4 linked regions of the Arabidopsis thaliana genome follow. The protein of the gene in region 2 interacts with the protein of the main gene of each other region in a biochemical or structural test. Each region holds a gene or a part of one and is shown on either strand. Other genes may lie near its edges.

The links.
Region 1: the proteins of MYC2 (region 2) and TIFY7 form a complex in vitro, tested with the Arabidopsis thaliana proteins (2 studies listed by BioGRID).
Region 3: the proteins of MYC2 (region 2) and JAZ3 form a complex in vitro, tested with the Arabidopsis thaliana proteins (4 studies listed by BioGRID).
Region 4: the proteins of MYC2 (region 2) and JAZ1 form a complex in vitro, tested with the Arabidopsis thaliana proteins (3 studies listed by BioGRID).

What each region holds. Positions count from the first base shown.
Region 1 is NC_003070.9:26,652,962-26,657,611, reverse strand, and holds TIFY7 (TIFY domain/Divergent CCT motif family protein), read right to left. Parts: upstream 2,845-4,650; 5' UTR 2,662-2,844; coding exon 2,571-2,661; intron 2,363-2,570; coding exon 2,280-2,362; intron 1,786-2,279; coding exon 1,631-1,785; intron 1,543-1,630; coding exon 1,458-1,542; intron 1,375-1,457; coding exon 1,134-1,374; intron 1,039-1,133; coding exon 863-1,038; coding exon of another isoform or gene 808-862; 3' UTR 548-807; downstream 1-547. Other genes in the region: HWI1 (Receptor-like protein kinase-related family protein), read right to left, coding at 4,231-4,250, 4,335-4,466. UniProt on the Arabidopsis thaliana protein: Repressor of jasmonate responses. Jasmonoyl-isoleucine (JA-Ile) specifically promotes COI1-TIFY7/JAZ9 interaction. Interacts with and suppresses RHD6 and RSL1 transcription factor activities to negatively regulate jasmonate-stimulated root hair development.
Region 2 is NC_003070.9:11,797,564-11,802,943, reverse strand, and holds MYC2 (Basic helix-loop-helix (bHLH) DNA-binding family protein), read left to right. Parts: upstream 1-1,536; 5' UTR 1,537-2,030; coding exon 2,031-3,902; 3' UTR 3,903-4,600; downstream 4,601-5,380. Other genes in the region: AT1G32630 (FAM50A-like protein), read right to left, coding at 4,601-5,002.
Region 3 is NC_003074.8:6,118,073-6,123,548, reverse strand, and holds JAZ3 (jasmonate-zim-domain protein 3), read right to left. Parts: upstream 3,843-5,476; 5' UTR 3,582-3,842; coding exon 3,497-3,581; exon of another isoform or gene 2,467-3,496; coding exon of another isoform or gene 2,421-2,466; coding exon 2,221-2,420; intron 1,961-2,220; coding exon 1,746-1,960; intron 1,671-1,745; coding exon 1,580-1,670; intron 1,499-1,579; coding exon 1,195-1,498; intron 1,098-1,194; coding exon 1,037-1,097; intron 961-1,036; coding exon 858-960; 3' UTR 505-857; downstream 1-504. Other genes in the region: TDX (tetraticopeptide domain-containing thioredoxin), read right to left, coding at 1-15. UniProt on the Arabidopsis thaliana protein: Repressor of jasmonate responses. Jasmonoyl-isoleucine (JA-Ile) specifically promotes COI1-TIFY6B/JAZ3 interaction. Acts as a negative regulator of MYC2 function. Feed-back regulated by MYC2.
Region 4 is NC_003070.9:6,620,002-6,624,120, forward strand, and holds JAZ1 (jasmonate-zim-domain protein 1), read left to right. Parts: upstream 1-1,775; 5' UTR 1,776-1,830; intron 1,831-1,918; 5' UTR 1,919-2,310; coding exon 2,311-2,473; exon of another isoform or gene 2,474-2,671; coding exon 2,672-3,270; 3' UTR 3,271-3,619; downstream 3,620-4,119. Other genes in the region: AT1G19190 (alpha/beta-Hydrolases superfamily protein), read left to right, coding at 3,875-4,119.

The sequences.
Region 1 (4,650 bases), about 15 Mb from region 2:
CTTTTTTGTCCTCCTCACCAAACTTTTGCTTATGTGCATCTCCTTCACCATTATTACTTTCCTACAATTATTTATCTGCCTCTAAATAATAATATCTATAAGATCTTTCCGCTTGTGAAGAGAATCTCTCTGTTTTCGTAATCAACATGTGAGCTCTTTTGGTTCACAATTTTTTTTTTGTTTACTGTAGCACATAAACTAGTAGTATTTATTCTCCTTAACATCAAATTTTGAACTCGTGACTTTCATAAAAAGCTATTTAAAACATGAATATTTTCCTTTGAAAACATATCATTTTTTGTAATATATCATCTTAGGTATTTTACACAATCATCAACCTCAAGAGAATTTTCACCTTCTTATTTTCTTTACATTGATACCAAAAAAAAACTCGAGAGAATAATAGTAAAGTGGACTTGTTAACAACGAAAGCTGGCGATACAAAACTAGTACTATTCTCTTTAGCGATGCATTCAATATGATTTTGGTATAAATCAATTAAGTGTTCATATAATTAGTTAATGAAGTGTGTTTGTGAAATTAGCAAAAAAAAAATTATAGTGAATTTTATTTGATATTAAATTCTTGACAGACATGAGTCCATGACAAACATATATCTGTTAGTTCTTAAAGTTATAATGTAATCCTACAATAAACAGACCAAAGCATTACAAACAATGATCAAATACAGAGACGCCCTAACGTCTTCTCCTGCTCGTAAGAATATAAATGGTAACTATATAATCATAATCTAATGATTACAATTACAAATTACCATTGTAAAAAAAAAAAAAAAAAGTGTAGGTTTTATGTAGGAGAAGTAGAAGAGTAATTCATTCCACTGGATTCTCCGGTCGACAAATCAAGAAGCATCTTCTTGTATGGCATTGCACTCATAAGCCTGCACCAACAACATCAATTCTTTTAGATTCAATTGAAAAACCTCAAAATTTTCTATAAAGAAAAAAAATACAAAATCAAACCTCTCTTTGCGCTTCTCCAAGAACCGAGCCAAGGATGCTTTCCGAGCTTGAGGGACTGGAAAAAAGCAATTTTCGAGTTTAGACATATGATTTGAGGAAGCAAAAATCTTGATTATATTTTGTTTTGATGTTGATATTAGACACACATACCTGAAGGAATCATGTTACGAGGAGCTGCATTGAATGATTCGATCATGCTCATTGCATTAGTCGCAGCAACGGGTGTGTCCCTACACCTTGAGAAATTATCAGTGTGAGTGGCAGAGCTTGATGAGGTAGCAGCAGTGTTATGGATTTGTTTTCCATACATTCTTTCAGCTTCTCGAACCGGTTTGCTATCTCCAGTTTCACCTTTCAAACCGTTCCCGGCGCATAACATGATGGCTTGAGCCTACTCACATATCATGAATAGTCCGTTTTAGAACATGTAAATGTTATGTAAATGTTATTTGTATGAATCTTGATTATATATACCTTATCGGGAGATATGTCATTAAAGACGCTTATAGTTCCGCCATAAAAGATTGTGAGCTGAGGAGATGATCCGGAGGAAGCCACTCTGTTTCCACAAACCCACATAACCAAATCAAAATATGAAAAGAGCAAAAAAATTGTTGAATGTTTTTGCATCATAATATGGAAATTACCGTGGAACAAGAGAAGGATGAGTTGGTAAAGGAACTGAACCGCCTAGTAAAAGCGGCGTCGCGTTTTGAAACGCACCACCAAATTGGCATCTGCGGAAAACATTGGCCGCAGAAACTGATCCCCACTGGTATGCACCCGGAAACGCCTTAGCCTCCTAATTTGTTAAATTCAAATTTTAATCGTCAACGTCTTTAAATTTTTTGTACATTCTAAATTTAGAAAAATGCCAAGAAATAAACGTGATCCAAACGCCAAACACCAAACGCCACAAAATATTAAATTATTTTTTCCCTAACTTTGCGGCTGGCAGACGACCGACCCTACCAGCTCTTAACTAGCACTTATCCAACAATTTTTTTTCCCTGGTTAATGATTGGCCACATACACAAAAATGATAAAGTTCGGCCATTTATCCGACCATTTTCCGGTGGCTATCTCTTACGAAAACAACTTTTCTCATAAATATGTGATTGATGTGTTTAACATAATTTGAAAGTAAATTCTTCTTTTTAATCAAGACCATAATTGAGTACTCCTCTTGCACATGCTAAAAGACGACCATGATTATGCGGTAGCTTATAGAACCATTAGATTAGCCATAACATCTGAAACTGATACAGAGTAAGTTAAATTTTAAGATGAACCAACCTGGAAATCTGAAGAAGGCATGAAACTTGAAGTAGCAAAAACCTTTGACTTCCCCCATTCTCTAGCTGCCTTCGTACTTAACCCTATAAGTATCATTTTTTATGGTCGTCAATTTGACTAATCTATCCAATCTCATTTTTATAAAAGATTTAATGGAATCTTTTTTTTTTCAAGTTTTGGAATCTGAAAAATTATATTTAAATAAACAACTTTATACGGCTATGTTAAAAGTGAAAACTGATCTCTTCTTGAAACATTAAAATAAAAGATTCTCGAGACAAGAACACAAACCTCGTTCTTCGACAGCATCATCGTTAACCTCATGCTTAACGTTATTACTTAGATACTGCTTGTCGCTCAAACCCAGAAAATCTCTTTCCATTGCAAACCAAATATTCAATGACAAACTCTCAAATTAACGTGTTTCTCTCTGTTTCTTGCCCAAAACATCCAATTTAAAGAAGAGGAAGAAGAAAACAGAAGAAAGAAGTGGGAATCCACAAGGAAGGTTTCGTTTTGGTAATGTTACAGACACACTTTTGGAGAGGCTTATTTAACTCTTTGCCTTTCCTGTTTTTAAAGGCTTGCTTGATTAAAGCATGTGGGGCTTTTTTCTGACCGGTACAAACGGTTGGTGCTACTGGTTAAACCGGTTAATTCACACGTGTTTATTCTTTTGATTTTTTCATTTCTGAGGACCATATACAATTAGACATCCGTCGACCGTCGGTGGCTCTAGTTTATAATAGTGCATGTTTTTTTTCAAAGGTGGATTAATTAGTTTGGCTATTGGATATTTTCTTCGTGAACTCACACACACATGTAAAATGTGTGGTTGCTTTTCTTATGCAACGGTTTGGTATTTATCACATATTTTTTTCTTTTCTTTGAAAATTATTTCAACTATAATAATAAATGAAATGATAAGCCAAGACTCTTTCGTTGAGGCAAAAGTAATGTCACGTATTGGATATACAATAACCAAATCACGAGAATGCTCAATGGGCTGAAAGAAGTTTGATTTGCTTATCTAAGGCCCATAATTTTGTTTACGGCCCGACTTACATTAAATCTGTTCAGTATAACTGTACAGATTTGGCTAAATTGCATTCCAAACTAGACCTCCAAGAACTTGAGTGAACTTTTGCTAAGCTCATTTCATAACACGTGAAATTTTTGAATCTTTGATACATCATGTTGTTATTTGAGACCAATTTTTCTTATTCATATAATGTTTCAAACAGACGCAAGTCATTTATTAGTCATGTTACTCATGTACAAATTAAAAGAAGAACCTGGTTATGAAGCAATCATCGGTAGTACATTAAGAATTTCAGAAAATTAAAAAAAATATGGAAAAGAATTAGACGTTAGTTGGTCTTTCAAAGTCCTAAAACGATTTGGTAGTCAGCTTACAATTTTAAATTATCATTTTTAATGATTAAAGGACATTAGGCCAAGTCTTCAATTGAGTTCTTTAGACAATATGAGAATAAATAATGATGAATACGATGAAAAGATTCGTTCAGACATTCGCAATAGGACGAACACAGTTATCATTTTTTGGATCTCCATCCTGATTTACGGTTTAATATGTTCCATTATTCTCGACACGTTCATTTATTTTAACTTGTTTGTGTATTGATAAAAGAAGCTCAAACCCTTTTAATTACTGTTATTTTTTGCATAGACGAAAAACATGGCATTTATAGAAGATAAGAAATCGAAGGTTTCATTCACATCAAAGAAGAAGATATCGCTTTGGCCTATATAAGTCCGACAATTATACAAAAATCGATTCGGAGATACAATCATATCAATACTATATCAAATTATCAATATACTATAACTACGTACATCTTATGAGGGAGAACAAAAAAAATTACAAAAATACAACTAACAGTGTGGCTCGACTCGAGTTGTTGATTGATATCTTTCCCACTTTGTCCTTTCATTTACACCATTTCTCATCTGCAAAAGGCATATACATAGTAATTTAGATTTTATGATCGATAAAAGAACTGAAAAAAAAACGTAAATCAATATCAAAAATACCTTGTAATTTTCTACAACACTTTCCAACAAAAGCGAGAAACACAACGAGCAAGATGATTAAGGTGACGATTCCTATTATTATCGCCAATGTTTTTCCCACTCCATTATCATCCTTATTGCCCTTCTCTCCTTCTGCCAAATATATATATATATAATTTTAAAACTATCCATCCACCTCTAAAGTTTTTAATAAATTTGTTTTCTCCATCAAGTATAATGTTCATATTTTTATTTATGGTCAACACTATCAATTTTATGGGTTTAAAAATTTAGCGTCGTACACAAATATATAAACCATTAGACTAATTGTTAAGAT
Region 2 (5,380 bases):
ATTATATCATGTTCGACGATCTATCGAAAGTGTACACCAATTGATGATTCTCTATTTCTCTAAATCTAAGAATAACTCGAATTGGTCACATACAAATTTGGATCAGGTAACAGATATATTTTTATTTCATGCAGTTAGGAAATAACATATGGGAAATTTATATCTTACGTTCCACATTGTTCCCGAATCCCGACTAATGTCCCTCTCTTTCAACAAGGTGATAGTAAGATCTTCATTTAATCAACCCGACTCTCTACTTAAAAAATTTCAACCATTTTCTCTAAGAAGTCAGAACACTCCATCATCCCCATTCTAAGCTCAACATAACAACATAACAAGAAAACTGTCATCTTTGTTATCTCATTTCTCGAAGTAAGGGGGGAAATCTCTATATTTATCCCACTAATTATTCATTACTTAGTGGGATATTGTTGTTTTCTAGTGGCGTCACCCCCAAAGTCGACATGAAATATGATATCACGAATCACCTAGCCAAAACTTAGTGTAACATCTTCTCATAATTTTCTTATAGTAAACATGTTCAAAAGTCGACTCACAACCACCAGACAATGGTTTGGTTGTTTTCTGTTTGTTGAATCGTTCATTGACGAGTTCACCCAATACAGATGTCTCAGAAAATTATATTCAAAAGTTATTTTGGTTGTTATTTACAAAAAATGGTATACTAGATCCCAAAATTATTTTACTATTTATTGTTGGTAAAATACTCTTTAGTTTAATATGGTTTTAATAAGAAAAATCAACCGGAGTATCATTAATCTGAACGTATAAAGACATATCATTGAGTTTATCACAAGACAACGTAAATCTACAAGAACACAATAACATAAGTTTAGTGTTTTGTTAGTAAGAATTTGTCTTCGCAAGATAGAATTTTAGAAGTATATATATATATATATATATATACTATTTTATCTTAATTCTTTTTGTTTTATTTTTGGTTTTTAGGTAAGGGTTAGGAGTAATGGGACCATATTGGTGGCATGCTAAATTATTGTGATAAATTTATGCATGGAGGAAAAGATGCCAAATGATTTATGTTATTCACTCATACTCACCTAATGACCTAATCCTTGAATTATTGTTCGAACTTTAAAAATAAAATTTTAATATTGTAAATTAAACAAACAATATAACGTTGTTAGCATGTGTTTATCGTGAAATGTGAATGTAACTAAAAATATTATAAAGGAGTTCTTCCTTTCTTAAAGCATATGCTAATAATAGCGTTTGGTCAAATTAATAAATTATTAGTTTATTTAGTCGTCAACAAATTAATTAGTTAAGCAGACAAGAATCGTTTTTGGAGATAGAGATTCTCACTTGCATTTCACTCTCTTGCAATTTAACATATTAAGACAAACACAAATTTTTGCTTTAGTGAATTATTAGCAACGACTCACGTTATATAGATATGCAAATCTCAAAATTAATTAAGCTAAGACACAGTATTTGATAATTGAGATTACAAATCTTAAATTTTGATTTTTAATATTTTAAAATAACATTATAAAATAAGTAATTAATCTGTTATAAAAAATATATTCTAAAAGTTGACAAAACGACAAATATAAATCGAAAAAATAGGTGAAAAGTTATAGTAAAGTGTTTTTCCACTGAGCTCACAGTTCACTCTTTGGTACAAAAGAAACAATCAGTTAAAATCTAAGTCAATCATTAAAGAGCGTGTGATACACGTGCGACCAAACAGCCGTACGATCTCACTCACTTCCGGTCTTAATTCTTACCGCGTCGATCCAACAGTCGATGGGGTTAAATCGGGATGTGAGTTCATCGAAGCTTCTCTCTCTCTTACAACCATCCACGTTTCCCAATGAAATCTCGCCACGTAATATCCCTAACAACAAATTTACACATTCACCCTCAAGATCAGTTACACATATAATAATCGCAGACGCTCTCCATTTTTCTCCACTACGAAGACTTTCTCCTATCTCTCTCTCTCTCATTAAAAACGTGTTTTTTTTTACCGGTCACCGGTTTATGGAATGACTGATTACCGGCTACAACCAACGATGAATCTTTGGACCACCGACGACAACGCTTCTATGATGGAAGCTTTCATGAGCTCTTCCGATATCTCAACTTTATGGCCTCCGGCGTCGACGACAACCACGACGGCGACGACTGAAACAACTCCGACGCCGGCGATGGAGATTCCGGCACAGGCGGGATTTAATCAAGAGACTCTTCAGCAACGTTTACAAGCTTTGATTGAAGGAACACACGAAGGTTGGACCTACGCTATATTCTGGCAACCGTCGTATGATTTCTCCGGCGCCTCCGTGCTCGGATGGGGAGATGGTTATTACAAAGGTGAAGAAGATAAAGCAAACCCGAGACGGAGATCGAGTTCGCCGCCGTTTTCTACTCCGGCGGATCAGGAGTACAGGAAAAAAGTGTTGAGAGAGCTTAACTCGTTGATCTCCGGTGGTGTTGCTCCGTCGGATGACGCTGTTGATGAGGAGGTGACGGATACGGAATGGTTTTTCTTGGTTTCGATGACGCAGAGCTTCGCTTGCGGTGCGGGATTAGCTGGTAAAGCGTTTGCAACGGGTAACGCGGTTTGGGTTTCCGGGTCAGATCAATTATCCGGGTCGGGTTGTGAACGGGCTAAGCAAGGAGGAGTGTTTGGGATGCATACTATTGCGTGTATTCCTTCGGCGAACGGAGTTGTGGAAGTCGGGTCAACGGAGCCGATCCGACAGAGTTCGGACCTTATTAACAAGGTTCGAATTCTTTTCAATTTCGACGGCGGAGCTGGAGATTTATCGGGTCTTAATTGGAATCTTGACCCGGATCAAGGTGAGAACGACCCGTCTATGTGGATTAATGACCCGATTGGAACACCTGGATCTAACGAACCGGGTAACGGAGCTCCAAGTTCTAGCTCCCAGCTTTTTTCAAAGTCTATTCAGTTTGAGAACGGTAGCTCAAGCACAATAACCGAAAACCCGAATCTGGATCCGACTCCGAGTCCGGTTCATTCTCAGACCCAGAATCCGAAATTCAATAACACTTTCTCCCGAGAACTTAATTTTTCGACGTCAAGTTCTACTTTAGTGAAACCAAGATCCGGCGAGATATTAAACTTCGGCGATGAAGGTAAACGAAGCTCCGGAAACCCGGATCCAAGTTCTTATTCGGGTCAAACACAATTCGAAAACAAAAGAAAGAGGTCGATGGTTTTGAACGAAGATAAAGTTCTATCATTCGGAGATAAAACCGCCGGAGAATCAGATCACTCCGATCTAGAAGCTTCCGTCGTGAAAGAAGTAGCAGTAGAGAAACGTCCAAAGAAACGAGGAAGAAAGCCAGCAAACGGTAGAGAAGAGCCACTAAACCACGTCGAAGCAGAGAGACAAAGACGCGAGAAACTAAACCAAAGATTCTACGCGTTACGAGCGGTTGTACCAAACGTTTCAAAAATGGATAAAGCTTCGTTACTCGGTGACGCAATCGCTTACATCAACGAGCTTAAATCCAAAGTAGTCAAAACAGAGTCAGAGAAACTCCAAATCAAGAACCAGCTCGAGGAAGTGAAACTCGAGCTCGCCGGAAGAAAAGCGAGTGCTAGTGGAGGAGATATGTCGTCTTCGTGTTCTTCGATTAAACCGGTGGGGATGGAGATTGAAGTGAAGATAATTGGTTGGGACGCAATGATTAGAGTTGAATCTAGTAAGAGGAATCATCCGGCGGCGAGGTTGATGTCGGCGTTGATGGATTTGGAGTTGGAAGTGAATCACGCGAGTATGTCGGTGGTTAACGATTTGATGATTCAACAAGCGACGGTGAAGATGGGTTTTAGGATCTATACGCAAGAACAGCTCAGAGCAAGTTTGATTTCAAAAATCGGTTAAAAGGGTGTGTTTTGGGAAGTTTAGAAAGTTATGGGGTCAAATCATAATTAATTCGTTTTAGTGGCTTCAGTAATTTTGTAGATTTTAGTTTTGTAAGAAAAAAATCTTAAAATAGAGCGACAAGTTTCTTCTTTTGCTCTATGTTTGAGTCTGTATCGTTTTATTGTTGTATCTCCTCAATGAGTAAACTTGTATATATTGATATGAGTAATATGAGTTAGTTACTGAAAAAGTTAATATTTCTACACAATTTCATATGATAAAAAAGAAAAAGAAATCGAGTATAAATGGTCTAAAATAAGAGACTAATGGTCATGATCACTGATTTTGTACATATGGTCAAAAATGTCTCTCCTAACACATCAAACTTAGGAAGAGAGACAAATCTTAAGTAAGTTAAGTCGAGAGGGAGACCATATGCACAGTTTTCTTAAGTCAGTGTGATAATGTTTCCTCTTGTCTAATCAATAAGACACAACACACATAAACCTTAGTATAATACTACATGGATCTTCGAATACACAGACAGAGTCACAGACAAGAAAAAGCAAATCACTTGCTTTTGTCTTGATCATTTCCAATATCTACAAAAATAGAAATCTTGAAGAGATTATTGAATCTGAAATCTGCTTTGTTTGTGCATTCTCTTCCTCGATCACCTCGCAAGATCCTCTAGCAACCTGACCAATCCTCAAGAATCAAGTTTTCTTCTTTCTAGCTTCAGCTTTCCAATCTCGACGATGCGGCCTTATCTTCCGTTTAACCGACTCACAAGAACTATCTTGAGCCTTGTTCATAATCAAATGAGCTCTTCTAGCTTCTTTTTTCCAATTTCTATCGCAATAAACCCGCCGCACAAAGTTCTCAACATAACCACTAGGTCCATTAAACTCTAGTCCCTCGTCTTCTTCTTCTTCTTCTTCTTGTTTTCCCATTGTCTCAAACGAAAGATTATCATCGTTACCCGCTTCTTCTTCCCGCATCCGTTTCCTGGCTCGATACCTACGTTGTCTTTCTCTGTTCTTCATTCGACGGATCATGACTTCATCTTTGTCTATCAACCCTTCTTTCTCATCAATGCTCAAACCACCATTGCTCATCTTTCCTTCAATTCCAATTACTCAAAACACTGATAAAACAAACCAAATTCTATTATAAGGTAATGCATTTAAAGGAAAGAATCTAAAGCTCTATAAAACCCTAGAAGCTTCTTAATTCAAAAGCTGAAGACACAAAACACACACAAATGTAATTTTGCAACTAGAGGAGGACCAAATTAGAGATTCGTTAATAGCAATCAACCAGAAATGTAAGACTTCCAAAGAATCAAAATTAGCTAATCGATACAACTAAAAATGTTATTTTGCTTTGCTTTCAAGTTGAGAAAACAGAGAAGTTCGATACTCAAAGAACCTGAATGATTAATTCGATGATTAGGTTAAGAGGCTAAAACCCATATATTACCAATCTCAGTGATT
Region 3 (5,476 bases), on a different chromosome or scaffold from region 2:
AATCGCATCCACCATCGAATTCCGCCTTTTTCTTCTTCTTTCTATGAAAAGCTTAGAAATCAGTGAATCCTTGTGATCGTACGGAGCTGTGTCTGCTCGTATTGGTTTTGATTAGACTGAAAAACGTTGAAATAATCATCGCCGAAAACCGAACATGTCCAACCGGTTTTGTCTTCGCGTTAACTTAACCGCGACTGAATTCATATCCGGTTTATCATCTTTTGCAACATCCCTTTTCGTTGTGCAATAAGACATTGGGCCTTGATGGGCTACAACACAAAATGGCCCACATATTGAAATTAGGATGTTACAAAGAAACTCACAGCCAAAACGAAGACCGAAAAATAATTAGCCAAAACGAATTAAAGCAAATTCTAAAAGATGTTCCATTTTCTCCATATATAATGATGACTTCTTTTGTGAATTCGAGTTGGTAACTGGTAATGTATCAAGCTTATTGTTAACCAGAGTACAAATTAGCAAATCCTATTAAAAAAATCCCCATATTTGAATAGAAAATTGATTAGAGAAATAACTTAGGGAAACAGAAGCGATGCAATTCCATTACATGAATTATACATATGCGAGCTTCAGTGATATATACAAAAGAACAGAGTTAAAAAAAAAGAAACAAACAGTTTCTACTAATTTTCCCAAGTACATATCTGATATGCTCTCATAAGTTCCATTCCACCAAAAAACATGTAAACAAAGTATACACTATCGTATATATAAAGCTAAGGAGAAACTCAGTGTGGCGAGTGAGGAAAAATTAACTGAGACATTGAAAAGACCGCCATTGAAATGCAAATATGGATGTGGAGTGGTCTAAAGCAACCTTCTTACTGTAGATGAAATTAGGTTGCAGAGCTGAGAGAAGAACTAATGCATTCAGACATTGATCTGCGACAATCTGTCGATGACTTCTTGTCTAAGCAATATGGGGATACGCTCGTGACCCTGAGAAACCCACAGCGAGAAAGAGAGTTAGCCCAAGAAACTATTGAATGGTGTATTCTAAAGAAGTGTTGCGTACCTTTCTTTGCGTTTCTCTAAAAACCTAGCCAGGGATGCTTTGCGAGCCAGAGGTAATGCCACTGCATAAGAAACAGAACGAGAATGAAGTTACATCCATGAAAATACTAGTAAGTTAGATGGCGAATGTAGTATCAGGTCTCTGACTTTGTTTTTTACCTGTTGGAGCCATTACATTGGTAGAACAAGAAACTGGTACTGGGCAGTTAATATTGGATCCATTAGCTTGGTTGTTGTGATATGTTGACGTCAAGCCTCTTGTCGCTTTTGTGGCTCCGAGTCCGTTTGTGCTACTTCCAGCTTCAGGGCTAAGATAAGATATTGTAGGCATGAAGCTAGGAGGCATAGCTGAAGAATCGACAGAGGCACGAGTATGATGGACCACTTGTTGATGAGTTTGAGGCGGCGAAAAGACTTGAGGCATAGAGGAACCGTTCCCAGCTAGCAACATTATCGCCTTTGCCTGAGAAATGAAAGAAAGCAAATGAGTACCATACCTTACGAGTAAAAGAGATGCATATATGGAAGAAAATGATTGAGATACCTTTTCAGGAGATATGTCATCGTAAACACAAACTGAACCGGCATAAAAGATCGTCAACTGCGCAGGTGAACCTATTGGCTTGGAAGAAGATCTGACAAAAATAAGTCTTTAGTCAACTATGAAAATGTAGAAAGAGTTTCTGTATGATATGATGACTAGTGGGTACCTAATATCAGTAGTCCCTACAATGGAACCTGGAGGAGGAAGGATTGAAATTGGAGGTGCCATGATAGGAACTCCTACCAAAGGTTGTGAGTTATTGTTATTGTTCATGAAGCTTCTTCCTCCTGGTGCATAATGATGAGACTGGAAACCCGGCATCGACATGGAAACTGCGTTAGTTTCTTCGTGTTGATTGGAATTAGGGAACATCCTCACTCCCTGAGAGTAACAAGCCATAAAGTAGGTGTGAGGCATTGTATGAACTAACTTATCAAAAATGAGAAGCTTAGCTTACACTTAAAATGAATCAGTATTAAACCAAGATTAGATCCACAAACTAATTGCCATGAACTTGTGCTAAACTAGACTCAAAACCAATTACTATATGCTCATAAAACAGGGCTCACTTTTAAAGCTATCTTGCGAAGGATAAAAAAAACACAAGGGTCTTGGTTAACATAGGTTTTGATGACAAATACCTGTACAGAACTGTAAGGAGCTTTGCGGGTTGAATCATAAACATCAGCTACTGATGATGGCATGAAGGAACCAGAGTGAGGAAGATGATAATTTCCAGACTTTCTATGTCTATCTTCTTGAGTTGGCCTGAAGGATAGAAACTGAGAAGAAGAAGCTGATACTTTGTTTGAGAAAGACCAGTTCATTCCTCTGTTGGGAGCTACAAAAGAAAAAGAATAAAAGATAATCAGTTTAAAGTCAAACATGTAGTGTTAACTGTTAACCATAAATGTCTCGAGATCTCCTTACATAAACAACAGAGGATTAATTCAACACCTACTTCAAGGAAAAGATTAGTAACCAACAATGTAGAATCTGATACTGTTGACAAATTCAACGAGGGAAAACCACTTTCGAAAACCGTGTCTAATTCTAAAACATTTGATTGAAAGTCATTGTACGAAACTCCAATAATTTAAGTTTGTTTTAATAGTTTAAATTAAAGAGAGATTCAAACTTTAACCCCACCACACCACACCACATGTTGATGCACTACTTTTATGGTGTGGCACGTTTTGGCTGATAAGAAAACAAAGTTGAAATAATTATATTCCTCGTGGTGAGAAAACTATTATTTCCACATTGTACCTTGAACAATATTCTAACGCAAGTTCCGCTTAATCAACACACAACACAAATACACAATCAATATTTTAATAATCTCATAAACTAATCCAACTCACACAATCAAGAAGTTAATCATCTTATAAACTAATCCAACTCACTCTTTTGAGTATATTTAATCTTTCTACCTACTACCAACCGTCTCTATTTTATCATTTTTGTATCAGTCTCTATACATCCCCTCTTTTCCAACATTTTACGTATTCGTTTTTTTTTTAGTATAAACTAATAAAGTATTTCTCAATTATAAGACTCTTCAAACAAAACAAAAAAATTTACTCTAGTAAAAAAAAGTTTACCGAGTTTAATTATGTTAGAAGCTTGAGATTAGTTCTCGTTAATTTCTCCGACCGAAAGCATGTTTAAGACAAGGCTTTGGAAAAGAACACTAGTTTTTCCAAATCCAAATTCTACATCTCCCGAGAAAAGCAAAGGACAATGTTCTGCTCCAAGCAACAAACTGACAATTCCAGTTCCCGAGCAAGCCATAAAATCAGCTATCCAAAAACAAATTCCATACTACAAGTAGTCCTAATAACTCCTAATCAATCAAACAAATCTACGATTTAAAAACAATCAGAATCAGAAAAATTGAGAAGAGTAATAAATAACCTGAATCTCTAGAGCTTTCGCTGGTTTCCTCCTTGACAGTGATCGGAGAATTTTTCGAACCCAACCCGAGAAAATCTCTCTCCATCTATAATAAAGACACAGCCCGCTACAAAATTAATTCGATCTCAAATGTCTGTTTCGATTAAAACGCGTGTTAAACGCCGGAATCAAGCTAAATAGAGCTTCGCCGGAAAAAGGAAAAAAAACAGAGACTTTTGAGGGAGAAAATGAAAAAACGTGGAATGAAGTTAATTCACCGCAATTTCTAGTTTTATTAACAAATCGCATGCGACATGTGAATCGTACCATTAATTTATAACTATAACAAGAAAAAAAAGATTCTTTTTTCTCATATCCTATTGGCGCAAAAACCAGCTACAGGTTGTCCCGGTTACGTCACCGGATATAGTCGGTTAAAAAGGCACGTGCATCGTCGTGCAGTGTGTGGCGTTTCTTTTTGTGGTGAGACGCGTGGCGAGGCACGTGCGCTATTTTAACGTGAATGATTCACGAGATGCGAAGCGGCAGTTTTAATTTATTTTTTTATTCAATGACAACACTTTTTTTTGTCGGCTGACGCGCTAAGTGTAGCGCGTGAGTCTAACCCCCTTTTTGTCTCACCGCTCAATCTAAAATAGTAAAATTAGTTACACTACTTTCGTGCACGTTCTCTTGACCAAGATAAACATTTGCACGTTGCATTTTTTTGGCAAAATATATTAATTTGTATTTTAGTACTATATTTTTAATCTTTGATTAATCGGATGGTACTATAAAGTAATTGTAAAGATTAGACTTTCATAAAATGATTTAAATACAACAAAATAATTGTTGCGGAAATTTAGTTCCACAACTAAACATTATTAAGCTAAATCTAAATCCTCATGTGATTATGTCATCACTCTAATATTATTTTTTTTAATCCAATTTTTAATTATTTTTTCTGTCATTGTACTTTTATTAATATTTTTCGCGAATTATTAAAGAATGTTGCTTGTTGCTTAAACTATACTTGTATTAATTAAGGTAATTATTGGTACCAAAAAGAAAATATTACTTTAATGTACATATTACTAAAATCACTCGTTGACATCGTTTTTGTGTATTTATAAGATGCATGTGGTCCGGGGGAGGAAATTACGCCATTTCGTGCGTCACTTTCTTCTTAATTTAGTAAAAACTAATACTATACTAAATTTACTAATGTTTTAAAACATATCTAATTATCTCACAAATATAATAATAAAGTTTTCATTTTTTTATGAAAATGAATATTTAAAATTCAAATCTATAGAAAAAATGGAAAGGAGTCAATGATCACAACAACTTGACGATCTCTAAACAAAAAAAAAATTGACGATCATCTCCCACGATAACATCGTTATTTCGAGTCTGGGGGATATGCAGCACACGTCATTTTCTCCAGCCTAGAATTTAGATATTAATATCACATTATTAAGAAAATACTACACTGCAGTTTATTATATACACAACATTCCATATAGATAATAGATCAGATCAGATCAAAAGTGGACCTACAAAGCGAAGATTATATCAAAAGATGCCATAAACGCATCTCTCACGCTATGATCCACATAAAACATCCGAAATTTAATTCTGTTTTTACATCCGACATTTAATTCTTGTTTTCTGTTTTTACATCATTTAATTCTGGTTACCACGACATTTTTTTTGTTTTAATGGTATTAGACTCTATATAGACATACAAAACTCAAAACAAAAGATTCAATGATCACCCCCTACCAAAAAAAGAACAGATTAAATGATCACGAGTTGGCTTAACAACGAAAACTTTTCTCCAACCAAAACCAAACTTAACTATTCTAAATCAAACTCAACAGCAACAGCAACGTCTGTTTACAACAACAACTTAAATAATTTTGTATTAAAATCGAATGAGAGTAAATAATGGCAAAGAGAAAATCAAATGACATATGTATATGCATGATATATAGCGCA
Region 4 (4,119 bases), 5.2 Mb from region 2:
TATAATATATTAGACATTACAAGTCTCTACAATGTTGGTTTATCATTAACAAGGACTAAACAATATACTATAATCATACAATAAATTAAGAGTCGTAAATTAATGGTAAACTCAACTAATGCATGAATAGTTGTAAAAGTATATATATTTGGACACGTTACTCAACTTGCATCGCGGATCTGTATTCCTTCCCAACCACTACGTACACGCATTTCCCACGAGTTTGACGATCTTTCTCGTTTAATCTAATCATATCTACTTTTATAGGCTCCATAGCCCACATTTCATATCTTATAGTACGTTCCAACTTCTAACCAATAAACTCAAAACTAGTTGAGTTTTTTAATTAGTGAAATATATCTTGAATTTTATATATCTAATCTTGCACCAATAAAGTTTCTGTCAATTATGTAAAAGAAAGACTCGTTGTATCAGTATGGGACGACTTTTTCTTCTGAATTGTGTCGATCGAGTCCATATTATAATACTTTGTCACGTACTTTGTTTACTGATTAATTTAATATAATTGTGTCGCATTATCCAAGTCTAATTAAACATTAATGTGTATATTATACACCAAGTTACAATTACAGATCTATCTCTTAGTCGTTTTATTATGTATAGCCTACAATGAAACATGACATCAACGTATAGGTGAAGCTGAAGCCTATACATAAAAGTAAGGTTTTGGAGTTTGTTTCATGTTTTAAGGTTTTAGATATTTTGTGATCGATTTGCATGTATAGGGTTCCAAATATCTGAGCTTTGGCTTGGTCTACTTTGAGAAAGCAGCTGTAGAGATCAACTTTAGCCGTTTAGGTGATAAAATCACATTAGAACTCTATAGGTCGCGTAGCAGCGTATAAGAGCCCTGGATACTGAAATACAAGAATCTCTCCACGCGTAGAAAAACGAACCAACCATGATAAAACACGTGTCATATCGAATAGGTACAGACAACGTGCACTTGCCAACCTTCTTTCCTTGTAGTTTCCTTCTTCTTTGCTTCTTTTTTTCGTTAAATATTGATATTGTTCAAAAAACGCATAACAACAAAAACGTGGTCGACGGAACATGTGGGTGGTGGAGTTGTCTTCTTTAGGGGACCACTCACTAACGCCGTTTACTTTCCCGCTTGGACGATAACACCCTTGATATATGGATTAGTCTCTCTTTTGCTTTTGGATATCTTAATATATTTTAATATGTCCATTTTTATATTGACGACCATTTAATTAGGTCTCAGTTTGTATTATTGATTTTTAGGTGCCAAGCATTACTTTCGTTACGTGTAATCTTTTGATTATTCAATCAAATTATCATATGGTTCATGGCATTTTATCAATTGTGACGGTCGACATGTGGGTTGACTTTGATGTATGACTTTTAGCTTGTGCCTCATTTTTATTCCAACTCGACAACTAGCAGACTTTATATTTTAATTTATTTCTTTCTAGATATTAGACAATTCTTAGCTTGTCTCTCTGCATGAATCACGCGTTAATATACTTATAATAGTAAGTTTTAAAATGTTTCGAGTATAATATCATATTAGATTTCAATTATAATTGTAAGATTATTTAGTCTCAATGAAGAGCATTTAAAAATGTGAAAGAGTTTAGGCTTTGACTGTTGACTGGTTCTAACGCGTTTTGCTTCTTATTTATACAAAAAGATTTTATTTTATTTTAATTAGAAATATTAAGTACTTTTTAGACGTGTTTAGGTTGATTAATTTCTTGTTAACATATCCGATAAAAAAAAACAGCACCAAAATCACGACGAGAATTATGCCTACGTTACGTTGATAATAAAGATTAGAGATAAAATGTAACCTCTCTTCTCTTTACATCATTACATGCATCTTGTGTTTTATTTGACTTTATTCTTACCAACAAACAACCAATGGATAAATTAGGCTCGTGAAGGAGGGCAAACTCGTAATTTCAAAGAAACGGAAAGCGTCAGAACGTGGAGAACAGTGAACCGAGACACATTCCCGATTTTTCTAAAGAAACAAAATAAAACACGTGTTTTTTATACCATAAGTAAAGTAGTAGTATTTATTAAACTATTAATATATAGCTTTGTTATATTGGAGGTAGGAAGAAGAACTCTGCAACCAAACCAACCAACCCCAAAGCCAAACAAAGTTTTATAGAGACCTTCCATTTCTCCCTCTCGTGACAAACGCAATTTGCAGAGAAGCAACAGCAACAACAAGAAGAAGAAGAAAAAGATTTGAGATTACTTTGTATCGATTTAGCTATTCGAGAAACTCTTGCCGTTTGAAAGTTTTAATTGTTAAAGATGTCGAGTTCTATGGAATGTTCTGAGTTCGTCGGTAGCCGGAGATTTACTGGGAAGAAGCCTAGCTTCTCACAGACGTGTAGTCGATTGAGTCAGTATCTAAAAGAGAACGGTAGCTTTGGAGATCTGAGCTTAGGAATGGCATGCAAGCCTGATGTCAATGGTAAGAAACCTTCTCTTTCTCCTAGATCCACTTCTTTTTTCGTTTTCTCTGTTTTTTATTTCTTGAATCTTGATCTTGAAAACTTTTCAAGAAAATTTTGAATCGATTTCAAAGAAATTAGGGAGAGTTAGTTTGCTAAATTTTGACATAGAAAATGATTGGAGAGAGTTCTAACTTTTGGATCATATATATTTGCAGGAACTTTAGGCAACTCACGTCAGCCGACAACAACCATGAGTTTATTCCCTTGTGAAGCTTCTAACATGGATTCCATGGTTCAAGATGTTAAACCGACGAATCTGTTTCCTAGGCAACCAAGCTTTTCTTCCTCATCTTCCTCTCTTCCAAAGGAAGATGTTTTGAAAATGACACAGACTACCAGATCTGTGAAACCAGAGTCTCAAACTGCACCATTGACTATATTCTACGCCGGGCAAGTGATTGTATTCAATGACTTTTCTGCTGAGAAAGCCAAAGAAGTGATCAACTTGGCGAGCAAAGGCACCGCTAATAGCTTAGCCAAGAATCAAACCGATATCAGAAGCAACATCGCTACTATCGCAAACCAAGTTCCTCATCCAAGAAAAACCACAACACAAGAGCCAATCCAATCCTCCCCAACACCATTGACAGAACTTCCTATTGCTAGAAGAGCTTCACTTCACCGGTTCTTGGAGAAGAGAAAGGACAGAGTTACGTCAAAGGCACCATACCAATTATGCGATCCAGCCAAAGCGTCTTCAAACCCTCAAACCACAGGCAACATGTCGTGGCTCGGTTTAGCAGCTGAAATATGAATGCTAACCACCCTCAAGCCGTACCAAGAAATTCTTTTGACGACGTTGCTTCAAGACAAGATATAAAAGCTCCTATCTTCATGCTTTTTGATTTAAGATACAAACTACTCAATGATTAGGAAACTTCATATATTTGTATGTATTGATTAGTGATCAATTATTGTTAGTATTCGTTATAGTCTGTTTTTCTACTAGTTATTGTCGCCTGTCTAAATCCCCTTGCTATGGGTTATCTCAAAATTAGTTTCGTATGTAACTAATTTTGTAAGAACAATAATTTTTGTTGACGAACCATACTATCAAATACTCTAAATTATATCTTGATAAATCTACCTATCAGGTAAGTAGGTGTGTTTTGTTTTCATTTGTTTACTTGTTACCTACTAATCTCATATTTTATGATTCAAATTCAAACCCGTGAATTATGAGTTAGTAGGTAGGTTTAACAACATGTCAACAACTAAAGAACAACGTGACATCTAAACCAAACCAAAACTATAGAGAGTTCAGAGTAGTCGTAGTCTCGTAGAGATCATTCATATAAATAAATCGCATAAACACCAAAATCAACTCTTAATTCTTTCCTAATCATCATTAATCTCTAATGGATTCCGAAATCGCATTCGACTATTCTCCGAGGTTTCGTATATTCAAGAACGGTGGCATCGAACGCCTCGTACCCGAAACATTCGTCCCACCGTCACTAAATCCCGAAAACGGCGTCGTATCTAAAGATGCCGTCTATTCACCGGAGAAAAACCTCTCTCTCCGCATTTACCTCCCTCAAAATTCCGTCTATGAAACCGGCGAGAAGAAAATCCCACTACTCGTCTACTTTCATGGCGGAGG